Linked DNA regions of Pelodiscus sinensis. Each later gene encodes a partner of the first gene's protein in a complex. Links are inferred from orthologs where the notes say so. Each region holds a gene or a part of one and is shown in the gene's direction. Other genes may lie near its edges.

The links. Proteins that work in one complex are often made in the same cells at the same time.
Region 2: the proteins of SKP1 (region 1) and BTRC are in contact, whole or in part, in a crystal structure (PDB 1P22), measured with the Homo sapiens proteins. The link is inferred for Pelodiscus sinensis from reciprocal best matches to the Homo sapiens genes SKP1 and BTRC. Residues at the interface, in NP_733779.1 of Homo sapiens: Asn51, Ala53, Ile54, Val95, Asp96, Gln97, Gly98, Thr99, Leu100, Phe101, Ile104, Leu105, Asn108, Leu116, Asp117, Cys120, Lys121, Val123, Ala124, Ile127, Lys128, Gly129, Pro132, Ile135, Arg136, Lys137, Thr138, Phe139, Asn140, Ile141; in NP_378663.1 of Homo sapiens: Met175, Leu176, Gln177, Arg178, Asp179, Phe180, Ala183, Leu184, Arg187, Leu189, His191, Ile192, Ile196, Leu197, Tyr199, Leu200, Asp201, Ser204, Cys206, Ala207, Ala208, Glu209, Leu210, Val211, Cys212, Lys213, Glu214, Trp215, Tyr216, Arg269.
Region 3: the proteins of SKP1 (region 1) and FBXL17 are in contact, whole or in part, in a crystal structure (PDB 6W66), measured with the Homo sapiens proteins. The link is inferred for Pelodiscus sinensis from reciprocal best matches to the Homo sapiens genes SKP1 and FBXL17. Residues at the interface, in NP_733779.1 of Homo sapiens: Lys78, Glu79, Lys80, Arg81, Gln97, Gly98, Phe101, Ile104, Leu105, Asn108, Leu116, Asp117, Cys120, Lys121, Val123, Ala124, Ile127, Lys128, Gly129, Lys130, Thr131, Pro132, Ile135, Arg136, Phe139, Asn140, Ile141, Lys142, Asn143, Asp144; in NP_001156787.2 of Homo sapiens: Pro319, Asp320, Ile321, Asn322, Leu324, Pro325, Ile328, Lys331, Ile332, Phe333, Ser334, Asn335, Leu336, Leu338, Asp339, Glu340, Cys342, Leu343, Ser344, Ser346, Leu347, Val348, Cys349, Lys350, Trp352, Arg353, Gln364, Arg370, Gln371, Val373.

The regions. Positions count from the first base shown.
Region 1 is NC_134727.1:28,118,368-28,125,391, reverse strand, and holds the start of SKP1 (S-phase kinase-associated protein 1), read left to right. Parts: upstream 1-4,010; 5' UTR 4,011-4,170; intron 4,171-4,458; exon of another isoform or gene 4,459-4,602; intron 4,603-7,024. UniProt on the Homo sapiens protein: Essential component of the SCF (SKP1-CUL1-F-box protein) ubiquitin ligase complex, which mediates the ubiquitination of proteins involved in cell cycle progression, signal transduction and transcription.
Region 2 is NC_134718.1:73,920,219-73,928,068, forward strand, and holds the start of BTRC (F-box/WD repeat-containing protein 1A), read left to right. Parts: upstream 1-4,833; 5' UTR 4,834-4,963; coding exon 4,964-5,011; intron 5,012-7,850. UniProt on the Homo sapiens protein: Substrate recognition component of a SCF (SKP1-CUL1-F-box protein) E3 ubiquitin-protein ligase complex which mediates the ubiquitination and subsequent proteasomal degradation of target proteins. Recognizes and binds to phosphorylated target proteins.
Region 3 is NC_134716.1:63,827,322-63,834,468, forward strand, and holds the start of FBXL17 (F-box/LRR-repeat protein 17), read left to right. Parts: upstream 1-4,130; 5' UTR 4,131-4,324; coding exon 4,325-5,071; intron 5,072-7,147. UniProt on the Homo sapiens protein: Substrate-recognition component of the SCF(FBXL17) E3 ubiquitin ligase complex, a key component of a quality control pathway required to ensure functional dimerization of BTB domain-containing proteins (dimerization quality control, DQC).

The DNA.
Region 1 (7,024 bases):
AGGGTTGCTAACTAAGATTGCTACCTCTCTAATGGCACAAAATGGAACACACTTGCCCTTTTCCTTCTGTGAGGCCCTGCCCCCAGTGGCTTCATCTCCCCTCCCCTCATTGTGCTGTCTCCTCCACCTTTTCTCCCCAGACCTGCTAATCTTTCCTATGGGGGCTCCAGCCTATAGCAGCCACAGAGTTGGTGCCTAGGGTGGGGTGAGAGATACAGGCTCTGGGAGGGAGTTTGGGTGCAGAAGGAGACTCTGGGCAGGGGCACAGGGTTGAAGTGTGGAAGCTATGGTGTTCCCTTGGTGCTTACTGTGGCTTCCAGGAAGCAACTGCCAGCTCCCTGCAGCCCCTAGGTGCAAGGAGGCTCTGTCCCCATGCCTATGTCCTGGAGTCTCCAGGAATTAAAGATTAAGCTTTAATCACTTAAAATGTGGTGACATTTCCAGGAATGTATCAGAGTGAGCATATGAGGCAAAGCATGCGAGAGAAGGAGACAAAGACTGTGTTTTTGGCTGTTAGGCCCTGAGCTACTGAAGCAGGTGATCTGGTTTAGATGCTTAACTCTAGGAAAGGGTTTCTAGTTGAAGCTTCCAAGCAGAGGGAGTTGCATCTCTTACTCACCAGTCAGGTGCACTGGCAGCTTGCTGGCTTTTGAGGAGCCCTTTCTTAGGCACCGAACAAGTTGCCAGCTTTCCCAACTGGAAAGATTGGATGCTATTGCCATGAATGCTGTCTGGTTAGGAATGTTGGAAACCCTAATAACTTGTCTCCTGCATTGTATATGGAGCAGAGGCGCCTAGCTTGGGGATGAGGCTTCTACTAGGCAGCAGACTGCATCAGAGGTAGGTGGTGTAATGCTGAGTAGAGCCACGCCTAAGTACTTTGAGGTTCTGGGCCTAATACTGCTATGAGCTCCATGCTGGCAGACTCCAACATTGACATCAGTGGGACTACACTCAGAGGCAGCATTTCACTCAGCTGTATGGAGCTCATTGGAGGTTTGGATTTTAAATTATTAATGATTTCCAGTTTAAGCCCAAATTTAAGTGTGTGCCCCATCAACTTGTGTGCAGCTGCTATCCAGCTATTTGGGTTTTACATTTCCAGTTTGATTAATCAAACTGTTGTCTTAAACAATAACTTTACATTATCCTCAAAATCTCAATTACAATTTTGTTTAGTTAAGGACCAAAGTTTTGCTAATCTGTTGGATGGTTGCGTGACGTAAGGTTTTATTGGGTTTACATCTGAAATGGTGACTCAGGAAACTGAAGTAATAGGGAATGAATTCATTATTTTAAGTTTCTCTTGTATCCCTTGTTTTGAAATTTTACCTCACACTGGGGGTTTGAGAGGAAGACAGGTACCATACAACAAAGCCCTTAAAGTGAAGCAGGATTATTCTGAATAGTGTTTTGTTTTATTCTAGTACTAATGTTGTGAACGATGCCTAATGGCTCTTGGCCATTTGTTTGTAAAAGATGGCACTGAGCCAACTTTCTTGAGAAATCAAGTGCTGCAGTAGACACATGACATTTCCCTTCTGGAGGTAGGATTTAATGTAATGATGAACAGCATTAACACATTCATGTAAGAGGATTTTAGCTGTCAGTACAGCTTTTAGATTAAATTGCTGCTTAGCAAATATATCCTCAGCCCTCAACATTAAGTTTTTAATAGCCTTATTTCTCTCAAGTGCCCTTCATCAAGTAATAATGGTATCCCTAGCTTGCTTGGAGAAATTGACAACTGCGAGTTTCATTGTGTTATGCGCCTAGTGCATATAGGTAAGTACAGTACCTTGAAAGCAGAGATGTGAATATTTGCAGAGTTGACTCAGCCTTCTGAGGCATATAGGAAAATGTGTAGTTATACAATCAAAATCTTTTGAGTAACCCTGTCCTTTGCAGAATGGAATTAGAACCTCTCAACTGTGTTATATGATGGGCTCTATACCGCTAACAGTTAATGAAAATCACATCTCTCCGGCTACGTCTAGGAAAAAGTTTTTCCGTTAAAAGCATTTGTGGAAAAGAGCGTCTAGATCGGCATGGTCGCTTTTGCGCAAAAGCACTTTTTGCGGAAAAGTTTCCGTGCCAATCTAGATGCGGTTTTGTGCAAGAAAGCCCCGATCGCCATTTTCGCCATCGGGGCTTTTTTGCGCAAAACGGTTATCAGCCGGTTAAAAGCATTTGCACAAGAGGGCTTTTTCCTGAATGGGAGAGTCATTGTATTTGCTGAAGAACACTGACAATCTTACATTAGATTGTCAGTGTTCTTGTGCAAATTCAAAGTGGCCAGTGTAGACAGCTGGCAAGTTTTTCCGCAAAAGCAACGCAGCCTCCCAGTTTAAGATACATAAATGTGTGTTTCAGAATCAAAATGAATGACACAAAAATTATTCATGCAGGAATATTAAAAAGTTGCATGTTTTGTTCTTTTATGCTGCAAGTAACTTTGCTATAACACCAATTTTATTATTTCTCCTGTAACTAAAAAGGGGGGGGGGACAACTTGTGGGGAAGGTAGGGAAATTTAGGACTAAATCTCTGAAAATGAAGTTCACAGAGCTGATAAGATTTCCCTTTAGCACAACTGGTAGGGGTCTTTTTGAAGCAGGAGGTTCTGTTCCTCTGAAAGGTACTGGGGCTGAAGTGTTGTACCACAATAACACCAATCAAGTCCAAGCTGGCCTGAGATTTTTTACGATGCTCCTTCAGCAAACATAATTTTCAGAATATATCAGGATTAGCTGTAATGCTTGGTAGGGATGTTAAATTTCAATTAATTAATTAATTAATCAAATAGTCAATGGGATTTCCATTGACTATTCGATTAGTTAAGGACTACTGCATTCCACCTTTAAAATGTACAAGAGCCCCAGCAGACATTCTTGTACATTTCAAATATTTAAATGCTGTGTGAAGCCTGGACTCCCCCAGGCTCCATGCAGTGCTTCTGCTTTGAAATATACAAGAGTCCCAATGGTGACTCTTGTACATTTCAAAATTGGCTGCTGCTGCTGCATCTCTGCCCCCTCCCACAGAGCTGCAGCGAACTGGCTTCCCCTGCACTCCACCTTCTTACCCCCCTTGCTCTCTCTTTGTGATAGAGGCAACGGGGCGGGGGAGGGGGGAAACGGGGACGGGATGGGACTGACTAGTCAAACAAAAGCTTATCGAAGAGTGGACATGCTAGTTATCTGATAGTTGACTAGTCGCTTACATCCCTAGTGCTTGCATGTAGAGATGAGGATCAAGGCACAAACTCAGAGGAAGACTTCGTCCCTGCCTGACAGGCAGGAGTTTTGGAAGGGCAACTGTGTTAGTCTGTTGTAGCAAAAACTAATAACAAAAAACAGTGCTATAGCACCTTAAAGACTAACACATTTATTTGGGCACAAGCTTTTGTTGGGCTGGAACTCATTTGACAAAGTAGGGTCCTGCTTATGGAAGCTTATGCCCAAATAAACTTGTCAGGGTTCAGTTGCCACAGCACTCCTTTTTGTTTTCCCAGGTACAAACGAATCCCACCAAAGCCAGCTCATCACTCCCATTTTGCTAATGTGGAAAGAGAGTTGGCTATGGCTGTAGAAGGAGCTAGTGCTAGAGCTGGGAGCTTTGCCCCAGGGGAGTCTGTGCCACGCCCTCTCCTGGTAGATGAGGAAAGGACTGTTGAAAAGCTGCAGGCTGGGCATGGGGCCTAGCCCTGAAAGCTGCCAACATCACTGGGGGGGGCTAGCAGCGCACACGTGCTGGGATAAGCCCCCTCCACCCATTATGAGCCTGTTGCCGTTGCCATGTGAGGCGGCTTTTCTGGTTAGACACCCTCTGCCTGAGAGACGCCGTGGCTCTTGCTTAATCTCCCCCGCCCGGCTGTTTACATGCTGGGCATCCCTTCACCCCTCGCCTCCCTGCATCGAAGTGGCGGTGGGCAGGGCGGTTGTGTCCTGCGGGCGGGCTCCCTGTGCCATTTCCTCGTGCCCGTTCAGGCGATCTGCGCGGACGCCTCCGGGTTGTGTCTGTGAGGCAGCGGCGGGGTCCTTCGCCTTCCACCTCCCGCAGTCCCGCCCCGCCCCGCGGTATAAAAGGCGTCGCCGCAGTCGGGCCCTAGCTGCTGTCGCTGGGGGGTCGGTCCGCGCCGAGGGACGCAGAGCCGGGCGCTGTGCCGCGGTGAGGGCCAGGGCTGAGGGCTCTTCCCCGAGCGGGGGCGCGGCGGGGCTGGCGGTCCCGGGAGCGGGGCTGGGGGGCCAGTGGCGGTGAAGGCCGCAGCGTCCGCCCTGGGGAAGCTAGGCCCGGCCCCGCGCGGAGGGAAGCGGGGAGGTGACAGCAGGTGGTTGCTAGGCGCTGCGGCCTGGGGATCCTCCCCTTACCTCAAGGCGGGCGGGTGGGGGAGCGCCTTACGGGCGGGGTCTCCGTACCGCTTGCGGGGCGGCGGCCCGCGGGTTTCCCCGGACGCAGGGCCGGCCTGGGCTGGGTGCAGTGCCTCGAGGGGGTGCTGCCCCGGTGGAAGGACCCCTCTGAGACCCTCGCAGGCGGACAAGCCCCGCTCTGCTCTCGGCTGCGTTGTGCGTTGCCCTGGGCCCCACCGGGCACTTCTTTAAGGTGGGTGGCGGCCTGTCAGACCCTGCGCCTGACCCCCTCCAAACAAGGGGCTGACACGCGACGTTTCACAATGGAGACTAACGCAGCTGCCAAAGTGGGCTCCAGCCCACGGAAGCTGGTGTCCAAATAAACGTGTTAGGGTTCAGGGTGCCACAGGGCCTCCTCGTTCTTCTTAATGGCGATCCCAGGGGTTCTGAGAAATGCAGAAGAGCCCCGGCTCTCTCCGCTTTGCAGGGCACAGAGTTGGCTAAAGATACCATAAGTGGTTGAGCTGAGCAGCGAGGGCCAATAAAAATGTGAGCGCAGTGCTGTAATTGAAGTACATCCCTTAATAAATAATAATAATAGTATAATGACTCTTTACCAGATTCAGCACTGTCACATTTGGGCTCTGCACCATTCTGCTTAGTCACTGTGTTGGCACCGGTTATCTGAGGCGAACTTGTTTTTTTTTTTTTCTAAGTTCTACACTGCAAGTACATCTATCTTTTTTTACTAACGAAGTACACTGATCTCCATTATTGTTTAAGTCTCCTCTCCATAATATGTGCTTTTTTTTTTAAAGTAAGACTTCTGACAATAAAGTCCTGTTTTTGAAATTGATACAATCATGTATTTGAAAGATGGACTGAAATTAATGTGAAACTGACCTTAATGCAAATAGCTGTGCATAAAGTGAATAAGCTAGAATCTATGCATCTATCCTATCATGCAGCATCATGATTTTAAGCTTCTACAACCTGTGTATCTAGACCATTAATTTTTATTTCATTTGTTGCACCTTAAAATGACTAAATTTTGGCTGACTAGATCCAAATAAGTATCATGTCAAGATGCCAGGATTAATTTTAAACAGTTGATTGTGTGATAATGTCTTGTGATGCTTAAAGTTGTGTAGCTAAATAGATCATACAAATAACTACTCAGTGTCATTGTAGTTGTGCATGTAGACTGAATAGACAAGAAAACTTGATACTGTCACCTTAACAAGCATAAACCTGATAATGTTCCTTTCCAGAAAACATTCTCATGTAGGGAAAAAGTGTAAATCTCAAATATGAAGCTAAAATCTAAAGAAAGTCTTGCATTTCCAGATTGCAATAAACAGTAACTTCTGTATGACACAATACAGTTAAAATTCTTAGCGGTAGCTGTGTTAGTCTGTAACTTTAAAAACAAGTAGTCCTATGGCACCTTAGACCTGGCTGTCCAACATGCTTGTTGCTAGCTATATGTGGCTATTTGGTTGGTTGAGTGTGGCTTGTGGCTATTTGGTTGGTTGAGTGTGGCTTGTTTGCTATAGCAAATAGCCACTATAGTGCCTACTGCTTCAGAACTGTTTGGATGCCACGGCCTTATGTAAGCTCATGAGCTTTCATGGTCTTTCATCAGATGAATAGTAGTTAAAATACTTAGATAGTAAAAATTGTCCCTACAGTGAATATTTCAGTATAGTTAGATTGAAAATCGGATATTTAAATTACTGCTGATTCAGTCTGCTTATGCAACAAGCAGTGCTGTGATGTAAATCCAAATTATAACACTTAGTAGAAATATGCCATATTGAGGCTAAACAATGTGCAACCGGTAACATAATTTCAAGGAAACTAATAAAATGCATTGCATGGTGTCAAGTATCAGAGGGGTAGCCGTGTTAGTCTGAATCTGCAAAAGCGATGAGGAGTCCTGTGGCACCTTATAGACTAACTGAAGTGTAGGAGCATAAGCTTTCGTGGGCCAAGACCCACTTCGTCAGATGCATGTAGTGGCCACTACATGCATCTGACGAAGTGGGTCTTGGCCCACGAAAGCTTATGCTCCTACACTTCAGTTAGTCTATAAGGTGCCACAGGACTCCTCATCGCTTTAATAAAATGCAGAAAACCTGAATAGTTGAATGTAGGCTTTTCCTATCTCATCATTGCTTTTTTTTTGGGTTCAGTAAAAGGGATTGCAGAGGTGACTGTTTTTAGATGAAGTAATTTTTATCTAGCAAGTAAGAGCCTTATTTGTATTGAAGCAGTTTTAACTTCTCATTATAAGACTGGTCTGCTTAATGCTACTGAGTAATGTAACTTTAATCAATATTCAGCACTCTAAAAAGAGAAACCATAGTTGTAACGTTGCAGCAACAAATTTCATATCCTACTTAAGTGAGAAATGCAGTGCTTGTTTGTCTGAGCCCATCCAAAAAAATCCCTACCACTTAAATTTTCACGTAGGATTGATTGTAACTCTGCCAAACATGAACTGATGAGATTGCACTCATCCTCTCAGATGAGGTTCTGTATTCAGCTTGCATTCTGCTTAATAACCTGCACTGGCTGAGCTCCATTGGCCTGGGTTTGTTGCAGTAGTCCGGATCAGCAGTATTGACATGCTAGAGTCTGCATTATGAAACAGATAAAACAATATAGCTGAA
Region 2 (7,850 bases), on another chromosome or scaffold:
TGCCGCCGCATTAATCCGGAGCCGTACCGCGGACGTGGGCTGCCAGGCACGAAGCAATAAGACGGCACAGAAATGATCCCTGTGGTAACTGTATGGGGAGGCCGCATCTTTCATCTACCCAAACTCGGCACCTGGCACGAGGCTCGGCACAAAATGCAGCCACCCGTGCAGAGCTCAGCCACTCCGGACAGAAAATGGGATCCCCTCGATAACCGCTGTCCGGAGAGGTTTGGCCGGGACACCCCTGCTGGGGTGGGAAAAGCCCGCAGGACCTTTGATCCAAATCGCGCTGTAAAAAGGCATTTGTTTCAGATTTGCAGGGTGTGATCTTATTGGGTCAGGAGACAGGATGGGAAAGGAGGGGTGAATCCATTTCCTCTGCATAACTCAGGGTGCTTAAATCAGGTACCGAGACCACGGTCTATCATGCTGTTGCGGGGTCGACAGAATTTGCTTGGGCCCTGGGCAAAGTGTGTGTGTGGGGAGGTTTCGTGCTCCCAGAAGGGGTGGGGCCTTAATCAGAAGGGGCAGGGTGGGGCCTCAGAGGGAATGAACAGAACAGGGCAATTACCATCCCCTTTCCCAGCTTCTGGCAGTTAAGGGCTTAAGACATCCAGAGCATGGGGTTGACTCCCTGATGGTCTTGGCTAGTAGCCATCGATGGACCCATCCTCCATGCATTTATCTAGTCGTCTTTTGAACCCACTTATACTTTTGGCCTTCACAATATCCCCCAGCAAGGAGTTCCACAAGTTGACTGCATATTGTGTGAAGAAATACTTCCTTTTTTTTTTTTTTTTTTTGGTTTGAAAGTGCTGCCTATTAATTCATTGGGCGACCCCAGGTTCTTGTGTTCTGTGAAGTCAATAACACTTCCCTATTCACTTTCTCCGCACCATTCCTGATTTTATAGACCTCTCTCATAACTTTGCCTTCACTGTTTTCTTTCTAAAGCGGAAAAGTCTTGAGTCTTTTTAATCTCTCCTGCTATGGAAGCTGTTCCATTCCCTGATCTTTTTTTCTCCCCCTTCTCTGTACATTTCCCCATATGAATATATCGTTTTTCAGAGAGGGCAACTGGAACTGCACGCAATATTCCAGGTGTGAGCCAGCCAGCGATTTATATACCGGGAGTTCCCAATTTACGAACGGGGTGTGTTCCAAAAGTTCGTCTGTAAGCCATTTGTTTGGAACTTGGAATGCATTTTCCCATAGATACAACGCTGTAAATGGCAGCTGAATTCCCAAGCTGTGAAGGCAGCGCCGTCGCCAGTAGCAGCATAGAACAGATGGCATGGGGCAGCGTATTGCTACCCTTCTGCATTGGTGCCAGTGATGGTGCTGCCTTCTAAGGTGGGTAGCTGGAGAGCTGTAGCTGCTGGCTGGGGGTTCTGAGCTACCATGCCTAGCAGTGCTGGGCTCTAATGCGGCAAGCCCATTGCAAATGAAGCACACAAGACGTTAACAATTGCCTCTGCTTTTTTCTCTCTCCCTGAGTAAAGCTCTTTGGGGGCAATGTTCATAAGAATGGCCAGACTGGGTCAGACCAACGGTCCATCTAGCCCAGTGTCCTGTCTGTCAACAGCGGCCAATACCAGATACCCCAGAGGGAGGGAACACAACAGTAATCCTTACCTGATCCCTCCCCGTCCCCCACCTCCGAAGAAACAGAAGCTTAGGGACACCATTCCTACCCAGCCTGGCTAACAGCCTTGATGACCTAACTTCCATGAATCTATATAGCTCTTTTTTGAACCTGGTTAAAGTCCTGGTCTTCACCACATCCTCTGGCGAGGAGTTCCACAGGTTGAGTGTGCGCTGAGTGAAGAAAAACGTCCTTTGGTTTGTTTTAAACCTGCTGCCCATTCATTTCATTGGGTGACCCCTAGTTCTTACATTGTGGGAATAAGTAAATAATTTTTCCTTTCACTTTTTCCACACCACTCACGATTCTATAGACCTCTAGCATATCCCCCCTAAGTCTCTTCTTCTCTAAGATGAAAAGTCCCAGTCTTTTTAATCTCTCTTCATATGGGACCTGTTCCAAACCCCTCATCATTTTTATCGCCCTTTGCTGAACCTTTTCCAGTGCCAAGAGATCTTTTTTGCCAATATAGCTTTAACACACAAGCAACTCCATCCCCACTCTGCAATCGAACCATCTCATAAACACTTATGATATGGGATGAGGAGTGGGTGATGTCTGCTCCCCAAATTCCCTCACAAGTCAGCCTGTCTCCCACAATCTGCCATGATAATCCCCCTCCAGTCAGTGAGCCTGCATCAGGACTCCAGATCTCCTTACACCTCGCCACACTTACACGGCTGCAGCGTGGCCCTGTGTAGACACGAGCCACGTGGCTTGTACTGGTGCAAACACAAGTGTGTGAAATTCTCACAAGGGTTTCATCAGCGCATGACCGTGGTGCAGCAGTATGTGCGTCACTTCCCATCATAGCGATGTGCCTGCATTCGCTATGTTGACAGCTGCTCCCATGTGTGTCATAGGTCCTATACCGTTCAGCAACCGGGGGAGATTCCCATTTAGCTGAGATGATAAGGATCTGGTTCTAGCCAGGCTGATGCAGTGACGTTCTCAATGGCTGTGGGGTGCCCTGTGCTGCCATGAAATCCTCTGTGGTTTGGCACCACAACACACCTGTAGGGCCTTAACCATCCCTCTCATGCAGGGGCATCTTTTTTGGAAAAAGTCGGGCATGGAACTGGCTGTGATGGGTTAGTGGTCTGGTCCCATCTCTGAGGGGATGCAGGGAGGAGACAGCCTGGTCCTATCCTGGGGCAGAGATCAGGACCTAGCTCCCTCTGTGGTCTGCTCTGGGGCTGCCATGGCAGGATGCAGCTTCCTGCCCAGCCAGTGGGAAATAGGGATGGAGCTGATAATGTGGCACTTTAGGAACCTAGGCCTGCTCCAGTAGCCTCCCCAGGCCCAGGGAAGACCCTGCAGCAAGGCCAGGAAGGAGCTACAAAGGATGGAGCATGCATCCCTCCCCACCCTAAAGCAAATGGTGCTCCCATGAACTCTACCCGTCCAGCCATGGAACAGGGTCGCTGTGTCTCCACCAGTGCCACACGGGGTCACTTGCAGACACTTCCTCCCCGCAGCAGGAGTTACTTGCTTTCCTTTGCAAGGCCCTTTGTGGTCTATGTCCACCCCATCTGTAACCACCCCCCCCCCCCCACTCCTCCTGCCTCTGCTTTGCCAATGCCTGGAGCCTTTGTCACCCACCAGGTAACATTTTCAAACAAGCGGTTGTCTCCTTTACCACCTCTCGCACCTACGGTGTCGCGAGACGGCCGTCCAGCACTCCAACCTTTCGGCACTTCCTTCCACTCCTCGCTGGTCTGGCGGAACTACCTGCTGGCTGTAGATTGCAAGCTGTTTGGGGCAGGGACCAGCTCTTTGTTCCGTGTCTGTACAGCGCCTAGCGTAACAGGCACCACCCCCACTGGCAGTTCTAGGTGTTAGCGCAGTGCAGGCAGCGAGGACAAGGGGGAATTGCTAACTCGGGAGCATCAAAACGTTGGGGGTTGGACCTGGTGAAATCACACAACAAACGTTGGGCTGGTGCAAGAGCTGCCAAGCTACAGCTGTCCCACTCGTAAGCTTCCTCTGCACCCATCAGAGAAACGTCCTTAAAAAAAAAAAAGGCAAGGGTTGCCCTGTGCTCTAGATCAGGGGCAGTTAAAATACAGCTCATGAGCGGCCACTGGATCCCTACCTGCCCCACTCCTGCACGCTGCTCAAAGAAGTAAGCTAGCTCTATGCTTATGTGACTGCTGTGAACCTGGGGAGAGGCTTCTCATCCTGCCCCTGCCCCAGCACAATCTCACAGCTCCCATAGGCTGGTTTCTGGCCAATGGGAGCTGCCTGTTCTCAGGACCGGCAGCACGCAAAGTACCCCTCTCCCGGGCTCACAATGTTTAGAGCAGCTTCTGCTTTGAGCAGCTTGTGGGGGCATGGAAGGCAGGGAGCCTGGCTGAGAAACCTGCTGGGCAGGGCTGTTGGCCAGGAATTGTTCAGGTAAGTGTCTCCCAGCCGAAGCCTGCCTCTGGCACCCAGCCTCTTCTTTCCCCCAGTCCTCTACCCCCCGTCCTTCCTGCACTCCTGTCCCACATAACCCAAATCCTCTGCACCACTGATCCTGCACCCATATCCCCTCCTGCACCCCTCCTCCAGGTCACAATCCCCTTCCAGACCTTGCACCCTCATCCCCACCCCCAGTTACAACCCAAATCCTTGCACTCCCGCTCTAGATCACAACCGCCTCCCAGATCCTGCACCGCTGCCTCCATCCTTCCTCCTGGTCAGAATCCTCTCCTGCACCACCTCTTGCACCTCTCCTGTCCCAGGTCATAGCCCCCTCCTGCGCCCGCCCTCCATCCCACGCCCTGCACCCCTCCGGTCAGAGCATGGAAGATGCAGCCCTCGACCGACTTTCCAAATTCTTGGAGTGCCCCCTCCCATCAAAAACTACTGCCCCCCCCCCTGCCCTGGCTGGGGCCAGGCTGCCCCGCGTGCACCTGACTTGATGCCCTGCGGAGGGGCTGCGATTCTAATCACGCGACTCCAGGAGCCGGCCGGCCAGTGGCCGATCAGCTGGGCGCATGGGAGTCCTGGCAGTGCTCCTGCTCCTTCCCCGCCTACCGCCCCGCGCAGACTACAACTCCCATCGGCCCCCGCGCGCCCCCCGCCAGCAGCCTGCCATGCGCACAGCTGCTCTGCGGCCGACAGGGCCCGCGGCCGCGCGGCATGCCGGGAGGTGTAGTGCTTCCGGGCCGCCCGGGCGCTTGCCGGGGCCGCGGCCGGGGACTACATTTCCCGTGGGCCTGCGGGCGGCGCGCGCGCCCTGCCGGGGGGAAGCGGCGGTTCCTGCCTGCGCTGGCTGCGGCCTGCCACTGAGGGACTGGGCGGCCCCGGCCCTGGCCCCGGCGGGGCGGGACTATGGAGCCGGCCGAGGCCGTGCTGCAGGACAAGGCCCTGAAGTTCATGGTGAGCCGCCTGCGGGGCCGGAGCGCGGGGGGGCGGCGAGGGGGAGGGGCGCGCTGTGCGGGGGGGGGCTGCTCTACGGGAGTGCCGGGGGGGGGGGAGATGGGGGAGCAGGACACCGGGGGGGGGAGGGCGCTGCTCTACGGGAGTGCCGGGGGGGGGGGAGATGGGGGAGCAGGACGCCGGGGGGGGGAGGGCGCTGCTCTACGGGAGTGCCGGGGGGGGAGAGATGGGGGAGCAGGACGCCGGGGGGGGGAGGGCGCTGCTCTACGGGAGTGCCGGGGGGGGAGAGATGGGGGAGCAGGACGCCGGGGGGGGGAGGGCGCTGCTCTACGGGAGTGCCGGGGGGGGGGGGAGATGGGGAGCAGGACACCGGGGGGGGGGAGGGCGCTGCTCTACGGGAGTGCCGGGGGGGGGGAGAGATGGGGGAGCAGGACACCGGGGGGGGAAGGGCGCTGCTCTACGGGAGTGCCGGGGGGGGGGAGATGGGGGAGCAGGACACCGGGGGGGGGGAGGGCGCTGCTCTACGGGAGTGCCGGGGGGGGGAGATGGGGAGCAGGACACCAGGGGGGGGGGGAGGGCGCTGCTCTACGGGAGTGCCGGGGGGGGGGAGAGATGGGGGAGCAGGACGCCGGGGGGGAGAGGGTGCTGCTCTATGGGAATGCCGAGAGAGGGTCAAGTGGTGGGGGAGCACGGCCCTATGGGGAGAGCTGGGGGAGCGGTACCTGTCGAGTCACAGATGGGGGGGCTGCTGGCAGGGGGAGGGGGTGCTTGGGGGAGCAGGCATCTGCGGGATAGGTGAGTGCTAGGGTGGGGGGTTACCAGCGGGTGGGAGATTCAGGGCTGGAGAACAAGGCATGGGGGGTTCTGAGCGATGCGAGTGCCAGAGCGATGGTGCGGGAGGGCCTGGGGAAGTTGGTCATGGGGATGGGTGTCGCAGGGTATTGAGACTCTCAAAGGACTCTGATAGGAGAGAAACGGGTTGGGGAGTGCGAGAGCAGGGGGCACTTAGGATAGCATTAGGTGGGGAAATCAGCCAGGGTGCAGAGTCAGGAAGAAGGCAAGTTCTGGAGTGTGAGAGGCAGGGACCTTGGAGCAAGGGTGAGTGCTGGGATGGGGGTGGGGGAAGGCACCTGAGCCTTTGTAAAGTCACAGTGAGATCTTTGTACAGTGTGGGCAGGGCTTGGGGTATCTTTTGGCTGCACTGGCGGATGCTAGTTGATGAGCATAGAGTTTTTTAGGAGGTGGGCTTAAATGCTTGGATTTGGGCGCAAGAGCATGTGGACGAGAAACCTTGTGCTGGGGATCAGGGAGGGACCTGCAGATGTGGCAGTTGGGGATCTGAAGGTATGTTTAGGACCATCAGAGAACTGTAGAGATTCTAAACAAGATTTCTGGCCTGAGTGGTGGTAAGAGATGATCAACGAAGTATTGGTGCGAGGTGAGGTTTTGGTTCTGCGTAGAGTATTTGGGGTGCACATCTGCTCTCCGTAGTCTTTTTTTCTTAAGCCCCTTTTTAGCCTGGGTATGGAAATATACATAGTGACATTTTACCCTGTTACATCTGCCTGCTCTATTACATCCTTGTTAATAGAGAGGATGCAAAGAGCCTTTACATTGTCTTGGGTTATAAATTGGCCTGTGGCACAGAAAATAGCTTTGGCTATCAGTAGCCAGACGAGTTTTCAAATGTGACTGGCTTTTTTAGATTTGGGGTAATACACCGAGTGAGACGACAATTATATTCCTCCTTTATCATTGTTTATATTTCTAAGTTGTTTGATTGGAAAAATAGCATCAAGAAACTAAAGCAGAGAGTGATGCCAGCTTTAGTTTAATACTAATTTTAGACGCTCTAAACTGTTTTGCTTCTAAGAATACATTTCAAGTGACTGGCAACATTTGTTGGAAGTTTATTTGTTGTGAATTAATGCTTTCACTGGCACAGAATTAAATCTGTGCTCATAAAGAACATAAAATACAGCTAAGCTTTTAGAATGTATGCCCAGTATGGAAATATTGAAACACCAGATACAAATCTTGGCTTTCCTTTGCATTTCAAAAGTCGGTAGAAATTCTAAATTGTTGATTAGCTTCTTTTTTTTTAATCTTGTATAATTGGTACATATTTTTAAATCTCTTATGTCCAGATTAGGAATGTTACATTTCAAGTTAATCAGATAATTGAGGAGACAATGGAATTTCCATCGACTACTCGATTAGTCGATAAGGGGGGCACTTGCTATCCTACTGCGCCTCTCCCTTTGAAATGTCCAAGAGCCGCCCATGACTCTTGTACATTTCAAAGAGAGAGAGGTAGCAGAGAGCAAAGAAATCCCAGCTGGTGTGGGTTCCCCTCTGTGCCTCTTCCTTTGAAATATACAAGAGTCACAGGCAGCTCTTGTACAGTCCAAAGGGAAAGGACCAGCGCTAATGGGACAGTTTAAATCGTCACTTGCACTGTTTCCCCGCTGCCCCCTGTGGAGAGGGTGCAGGGGTGGGAAATGGCTTTTAACCTGGCTCCCCCAGTGCTGGCTCTTGCTCCCCCCCTCCTTACTGCCCCTCTCTGATAGAGGCAGCAATGGAGGGGGAGAAGCAACTAGTCAAATTCCTACTCCACTGCTTGAGAAGCATTTATTGGGTAGTCGACTAGTCACATACATCTGTAGTCCAGGTCATTGAATTCTTTTGCCAGTTCCTGTATTTTTGTCAAGTTTATGGAAGAGGTGAAAAAGATAGGGGGTGTCAAAATATCCTTGGGAGTTTAAAAAAAAAAAAAAAAAAAAAAGCCCTCGCCATATGTAATTGACTAGAGGAATGTGCCATGGCTTGTTTGTTATAT
Region 3 (7,147 bases), on another chromosome or scaffold:
ATGATCAGAAAAATTGGATGAACAATGTGGTTACAAGGAATGCCAGACAAAGATAGGCAATTTACAGCAGGATGCCAAATTAAAGTTACTGTTAACAAATGTAATGTAACAAATTGGAAGGTACTTAAATTACTCACACAAAGTGCTACGATCTAAATAAACTATATCCAGAAAGGAAAAAGAGTTTCACTTCTTGAACACTGTTTGGTGTTCAGGACTAGTCATTCTATGTTGAAAAGGATACAGCAGAAAAAAACAATATCCAGAAACGGGTTACAAAAATTATGAGAAGTGTTGGGAAAAATACCAGATAAGAAGAGAAGAAAGAAGATAGAGGAACTTCATGCTTTTAGAGCATTCCTACCATGAGCTGCAACTAATCGCTCATCACCTTTATGCATGGGCAGGCTTGTGCCCATCCACCTCTTGATTCTTAGTAGGTGCAACTAATCACTGTGTTTGACTTTAAGCAAAGGTTACTATGGGTTGAACCTCTCTAATCTGGCACCCTCCAGACCTGACTGATGCTGAACCAGAAAATTTGCTGAACTATGGGAGCTCAATAATGTCTAACAACATTACTAACACTTCCACTGCTTAGAACACATTTAGGGATAAATGAGATCTAAATAACGGCACAGAACACTAAAATCCTGGAGCAGTGGCTGTAAACAAACTTTACAGGACCGTGGAGAAACTTGGTCACACCCATGATAAGTGGACATCTGGAACATCAAGGGAAAAACTATGCCAAATCTGACATTAATTTCTATTTGAATTTTTAAATGAATTGTAATGTTTTACAGATTCAGATTAAATTCTCTCATATGGATGTTTTTCTTTAAGATGCAACATACCTTATCTTGTGCTGTTAAAGACAGCATTGGAAATATATGTAGAAAACAAAAATATAATGTGTCATTGATCATGTAATCCCAACATAAAAAGTTGTTATTGATAATAGGTATTCTCAATAGGATCATATATTTTTAATTAAAATCTGTTTTTTCCCTCTTAGTGAAGGGCAAAATTCTCCTCTTATTTGAACATGATGTAAATGAAGAGCAATCCAATTTATACACTGTAACAAAGAGCAAATTTTTGCCCCATATTGTTTAAAAACTAAGGCACTTTGGGGTATTTTATTAAAGTTATTAAGGCAGTAATCTAGCAAATGCTTAGACACAAGCTCAGCTCAAAACTGCCATTAACACTGAGCCCTGTGGATAAATTTTAAGACTTAAATGTAACCACTTGTGTCTTTGCAGGGACCTAAAGAGAGACCAATTATACAATCTGTTTCTTGTAGACCAAACTGTTAAAAGCATTAAACCCAAAAGAAGTCAGCTGGAACATTTAGAGTTTGGGGGAAAAAATCTAAAGAGGGGACATAGAGTTTGGGGGAAGCCAAACACCGGGGGCTACATCTACACTACCAGCCTCTTCTGCAAGAGGAAATGCAAATGGAGCCCTCATTTGTATATGTCACATTCTCATTTGCATTTCCTCCTCGGATCCCTTTTGCGCAAGAAGTTTTTGCACAAAAAAGATGCTGTGTAGTCATCCTAAGTGTGATTTTGAAATATATGTTACATGTGTAACTTCATTCATCTTGTTAACTCCACTTAAATCAATAGGAACAACTCACATAAATCAAGTTACTTGCTTGTCTGCGGAAGTGGGCCTATACATAAACATAATGTATGCTTGTCTTTAAAACTTTTAACACAATTAAGGGATATTTTTTCAGTTAACATTTTCATCTATTAAATAAGATTTTTTGGGGGGGGATGTCAATGTGTAGAGGATCACATGATTAACAGATAAGGCTGGGCTTATTGGTTAATTCCGTTGACTACACACACAGAGGTAGCAAAGGTGGGGAAGGCAGCACCTGGTGCCAGTGGGACGGTGTGGTGACACTGGATCCCACAGAGCTGTCTGTCCCCCTATGCTGCTGCCTCCATATCAGAGGGACCGGTGCGGTAGGGAGTGAGGATGGTAGAAGCAGATACACATGGGCTATGTCTACACTGGCGAGTTCTTGCGCAAGAACAGCCATTCTTGCGCAAGAACCCACAGAGTGTCCACACTGCCCGCCTGCTCTTGCACAAGAAGATTTACAGTACAGTGTTGGAAGAAAGGGCTTCCCGTGCAAGAGCTATGTTCTTTTCTAACAAGTGTAAGCCCTCTTGCACAAGAGGACAGTGTGGATGCGCGGCCGGGGCTTCTTGTGCAAGAAAGCCCTATGGCTAAACTGGCCATCAGAGCTTTCTTGTGCAAGAGAGCGTCCACACTGCCATGGATGTTCTTGCGCAAAAGCACATGGCAGTGTGAACGTGTTCTTGTGCAAGAGTTCTTGTGCAAGAACCTGCCAATGTAGACATAGCCATGGAGAGCTGACTTTTAAGCCAGCTCTCCGTACATGTCATCTCCATGGAGCTGCCTGCCCCCCACCTTACTGCCTCCCAATGAGGTGGGGGGAGGAAGGCAGGAGTCAGTGTTCAAGGGGAGCAGGCTTAAAAAAGCTGGCTTCCCACGAGCATTGAGTCTGCTTCCCTTTCCCCCCACACTGCTACCTCTGTCAGATGCAGTGGTGCAGGAGGGCAAGCAAGGGAGGCTGCTATGGAACAGCCTCTGACTGCAGTGGGCCCTGGGCTTGCCTACAGCCCCCTGCTGATGGCAGGGGGCTCCCTGTGAGTGGGGTCTGGAGCACACAGTCCTCGGGGCAGGGCCAGGGCCAGGGCCAGGGCCAGCAGCCAATCCAACAGTCATGTAGTGACTAAAAATTGATGTGGTTACACAATTATTCAATTACATGGTATCTAACATCCTCCCTATCTTTTCCAGAATATTGATCTCATATAGTTGTCTGTTTTCAATGGTTTTACACAATTCTTTCTGATAAAAATGTTACAATAAACTATTGTTAAAACATTATCCAAATTCCAAAAAATACGCTATTCGTGTGTATCTCAACTCCACTGTATTTTTAAAATCAGAACATTCTCATGATTGTGGTTAGACTGAAATCAAGGGGAAGAACAGCCCAGCAACCCAGGTCCTGGGCCATATTGTCCAGTACAGTATACAGGAAAAACAGGGTGGTGGTGCAAGTTGTGTGTGAGAATTTGGTCCGGTGTTGTGAAATGTAGTTTTTCCTCAGTAATTTAGTTACTTTGGGGAGCCTATTTTAAAAGCCAGTTCTTTTGTTAGGTGTTAGGGAGGGATAGTAATCCCTGAAATGTTGAATCTGATTGAAATTCTTGGGGAAGCCGTTCTTGGAGGTGATTACCATATTGGAAAGCAGCTCTTGGGGGATGTTTGGGGCAATTTGTGGGGGGGGGACACAGACTGTTGTGAGCGAACACTACCCATGGCAGTGTGTGTAGTCTCTTGGGCCGTGTCCAGACTCAGGGGTTCTTTCGAAAAAAGTAGCCTTTTTTCGAAAGAACTTCCCCTGCGTCCAGACTCAAGCCGCGTTCTTTCGAAATTATTTCGAAAGAATGCGGCTTTTCTTTCGATGGCGGTAAACCTCAATTTACGAGGAAGAACGCCTTCTTTCGAAAGTTTCTCTTTTGAAAGAAGGCGTTCTTCAATGTAAAGAGGCCATCTTCGAAAGAGAGCATCCAGACTCGCTGGGTGCTCTCTTTTGAAAAAGCGGATTTCTCTTTCGAAAGATCCGCCTGCAGTCTAGACGCGATCTTTCGAAAGAGGCTCTTTCGAAAGATGCTTTCGAAAGAGCCTCTTTCGAAAGAAGCCTGCAGTCTAGACATAGCCTTGGTGCAGTACGGAGCAATATGCTTGTGTTAAAAGAAGTTCCTTTGTGTGGCCTGAGGGAGCAGAAGCAGGGCACTTGTGTTTGTGTGAGGAGGAAGGAGTGGGGGCTGTTGTGAGCTGTGTGTGTGTGTGAGAGGACTGTGGGGCTGTCCCAGAGTGTGGGGGGGGGGGGGGGGGGAGGAAGGGGGAGAGTGCAAGTACTGTAGGAGCAGAGTGGCTGGGCTCGGGGAGGGCGGCCGCCGGAGTTGCGGCTTGGCGGCCCTAGCACAGCCCGGCCGTAGGCGGCAGCACCGCAGAGCGCCAGTGCCGGAGCGGCCCCTCTTGGCGGGCCGCGAGCGGCTTCTGGGTAAGGTCAGGGCGGCGGTAGCGGAAGCTTCTCCCCGTTCAATATCCCGGAAGAACCGGCGCCACCTCCCGCTCCCCGCCTAGCGACCGGGCCCATGACACCCGCCGCCCCTGCCCCCCGCCGCAGCTGACACCGCGAAGGGACCTGCCCGGGGACGGCGGCCGGGCCCCCGCAAATCCCCGCTCCGGAGCCTCCTATATGGGCCACCTGCTCTCGAGGGAGGGAACCAGCCTGAGCGGGGAGAGGAGCCGCCGCCGCCGCCGCCGGAGAAAGGTGCCGCAGCGCAGCCGGAGCTGCTTTCTGCGCGGGCCCTGCATGCTCTGCTTCATCGTGCACGGCGCCAGCACGCCCGCCCCGGAGCAGCCCCTGCCCGGCCGGGACTCGCCTCGCTGCGCGGCCCTCAGCTCCCCGGAGCAGCGCGCCGCCCGCCGCCTCCTGCACCTCCCGCCCGGCGCCTGGGAGCAGCGGGGCCCGTGTCAGCGCCTGCTCCTGTCGGGCCTGCTGCCCCCGCCCGTGCGGGCCTTCCTGGGCTCAGCGCGGCCGCCCGGCGAGCCGGCCCCCGACATGGTGTGTAAGCGCAAAGGGGCCGGCCTGCCCGCCTGCCCTCCCTGCAAACAGCCCCGCTGCGCCGCCGCCCCGCCGGAACCGGAGGCCGCCGCCTGCCAGTGTCCGAGCGAGCAGCAGCAGCTCTGCCCCCTGCCCTGTGCCACCGACCGCGCTGCCAGCGCTGGGGGGCCGCCGCTCAGGGGCCCGGCCGGGGAGAGCAGCGGCGTGGGGGAGCTGGCTCCGGCTCCTGAGCTGCCCCCGCCGTACGAGGAGGAGGAGGAGGAAAGCAACGAGCCGGAGCGACAGGAGCCGCCCGAGAACCACAGCGAGTGCTGCCGAGAGCCGCCGCTATCGCCTCCCTCCGACATCAACCAGCTACCGCCCTCCATCCTGCTCAAGGTGAGTCTGGATGCGGGCCTGACCCCGCCGCGGGGACGGTGATTCCTCGCAAGCGGCTTTAGAGGGAGCCAGAGTTGAAAGTGACTCTGTGGTGCTGCTCAGGGAGCTGTCAGGATGGTGAGAAAGGGCCGCCTTTCTTCCTTGCGGGGCTCTGGCTATGGATATGCAGGGTATGTCTCCTCGCTGCACCCACACACCCAGGGGGATGACCTGTGTCAGCTGACTCGGTTTCAAGGGAATCAGGATAGAGATCTGTTTAATGGGGCATAGAGATATTTGGGTTGTTGCATCAGGGGTAGGAGACAAGGCAACGTTAGACCAAGGTTAGTGGGACTTGAGCTTGCTGACTAATGTTCAGGAACCCTGGCATTGAGTGTCTGAATTATATTTAACACCTACCACAAGCTTTTTCTAATCTGGGTTCAAATTCTAGGGTTCTGGCATCCACATTGTAGTACACAGATCTGATTTAAAGCTTCCAAAGTACCTACCATGTAGCCTGTTCCCTAAAAGGTGGAAGCTTTCATTCTTAGACTTGGGTAGTGTAGGAAACTTTACTGCCAGCTCTGTTACCAGGAAAAAGCTTATTTTGCAGAAGGTGTGATTAGATTGCTTTCTGTTGCAAATTCCGGAGGTCTCTGAACTTGTGCTTGCAGGTCAGTGGTCAGAAAGAATGGTTCAGTGCTGACTTGAGCTGCTGCCTTTTGCCAACTGTATGTGGGAGGTGAAAGTCTTCCGTTTTCAATGGTGGATTAAAGATTATTGGGATAAGGAAGACTAAGGAATCTTGTTCAGTGGAATTATGGTGTATTTCCAGATGGCTCTCAGGACTTCAGTCAAATTTGAGCGCATTTGCACTGCAAAGCAGTAGGGCTCAGAAGCTGGGTCCCAGGTTGACTCCAGCTTCTGTGTCAAAGCACTGGGATTGCACAACTGCAGTGTAGATCCTAAGGAGTTAGCTTTGATCCTGGGCTGAATCACAGGTGTATGAGCCAGTACAAACATACCCTGGAATCCTGCTTTTGCGCTTCAGGTTTACTGCTTTTCTTCACTAAGGCTTGTAGGTATGTTTACATCAATACATAAAGTTAATACTCTAATAGGCACATGTAAGAGATTTCACATAGAGACAAATGCTGATCCTGTTGCAGTGAGTATGAGCAGGATCAGACCCCCCTTTTTTTTTCTGAACAGTAGACAAGAAATAGTATCCTCTTATGTCCCTCCTCCCACCCCACTATGCAGATACTCAGGGATAAGTCAAACTCAAGTCTTCCTTTTCCACAGAATTAAATTGATCTACTTCAGGTTAACATATGGCTACCACAATAATTATTGCTGTTTTTCATGTTCACATTGGCCCCCCCACTGCTCGTGGTGCATGTTGTCGTGAAGAGTGCTTGTATGGATAAAAGTGAAACATTGTGGGGAGTGAAAGAGGAGGTCCCTTATTCCTTCATCTCAGGGGCTGACAGCGGGAGCTGGGAGGGCAAGGATCCAGTGGTGAACTCAGGATGGGACTGACAGCAGGGTAGCAGGGCTCCTATATCTGATTTCCAGATCAGGGCTGACAGTCAAGAGGTTATGTAGGTCTGGAGTCTCAAACACATAGCTCGTGAGCCATTTGCGACCTGAGCAGTTGCACAATCTGGCCTGCACGTGGCTGCTGGCGTGTGAATCCCTGTGACTCTGGGGGGTTCCTGTACTCTTCTCCCAAGTCCAGTCGCTGCTCTACCCCACCTGTTCCCCACAGGGACATAGCCTAAGTGATTACTGGGGACAACCTCTTCCCTGGCCCTCACCATAGTGGTAGGAGCTGCAGAGAAGTGGAGTAATGTAGCAGCTTCTGCCACAATATACCAGTCTAGCCTGGTTGCTTTGCTTCACCATGGCAGCAGGAAGTGGAATGTTCTAGCCCCACACCGGGCTTAGGAAATGGCAGTAGAGCAGAGCAGGCTGCTGTGTTGCTCTACTTTCCCATAGCTCCTACACTCATGGTGAGTACAGGGGGGCCTGATCCCTAGTGCTGGCCACAGCCTGCCCAGAACTCTGCAGCATAACCTGTGGGGAGCGGAA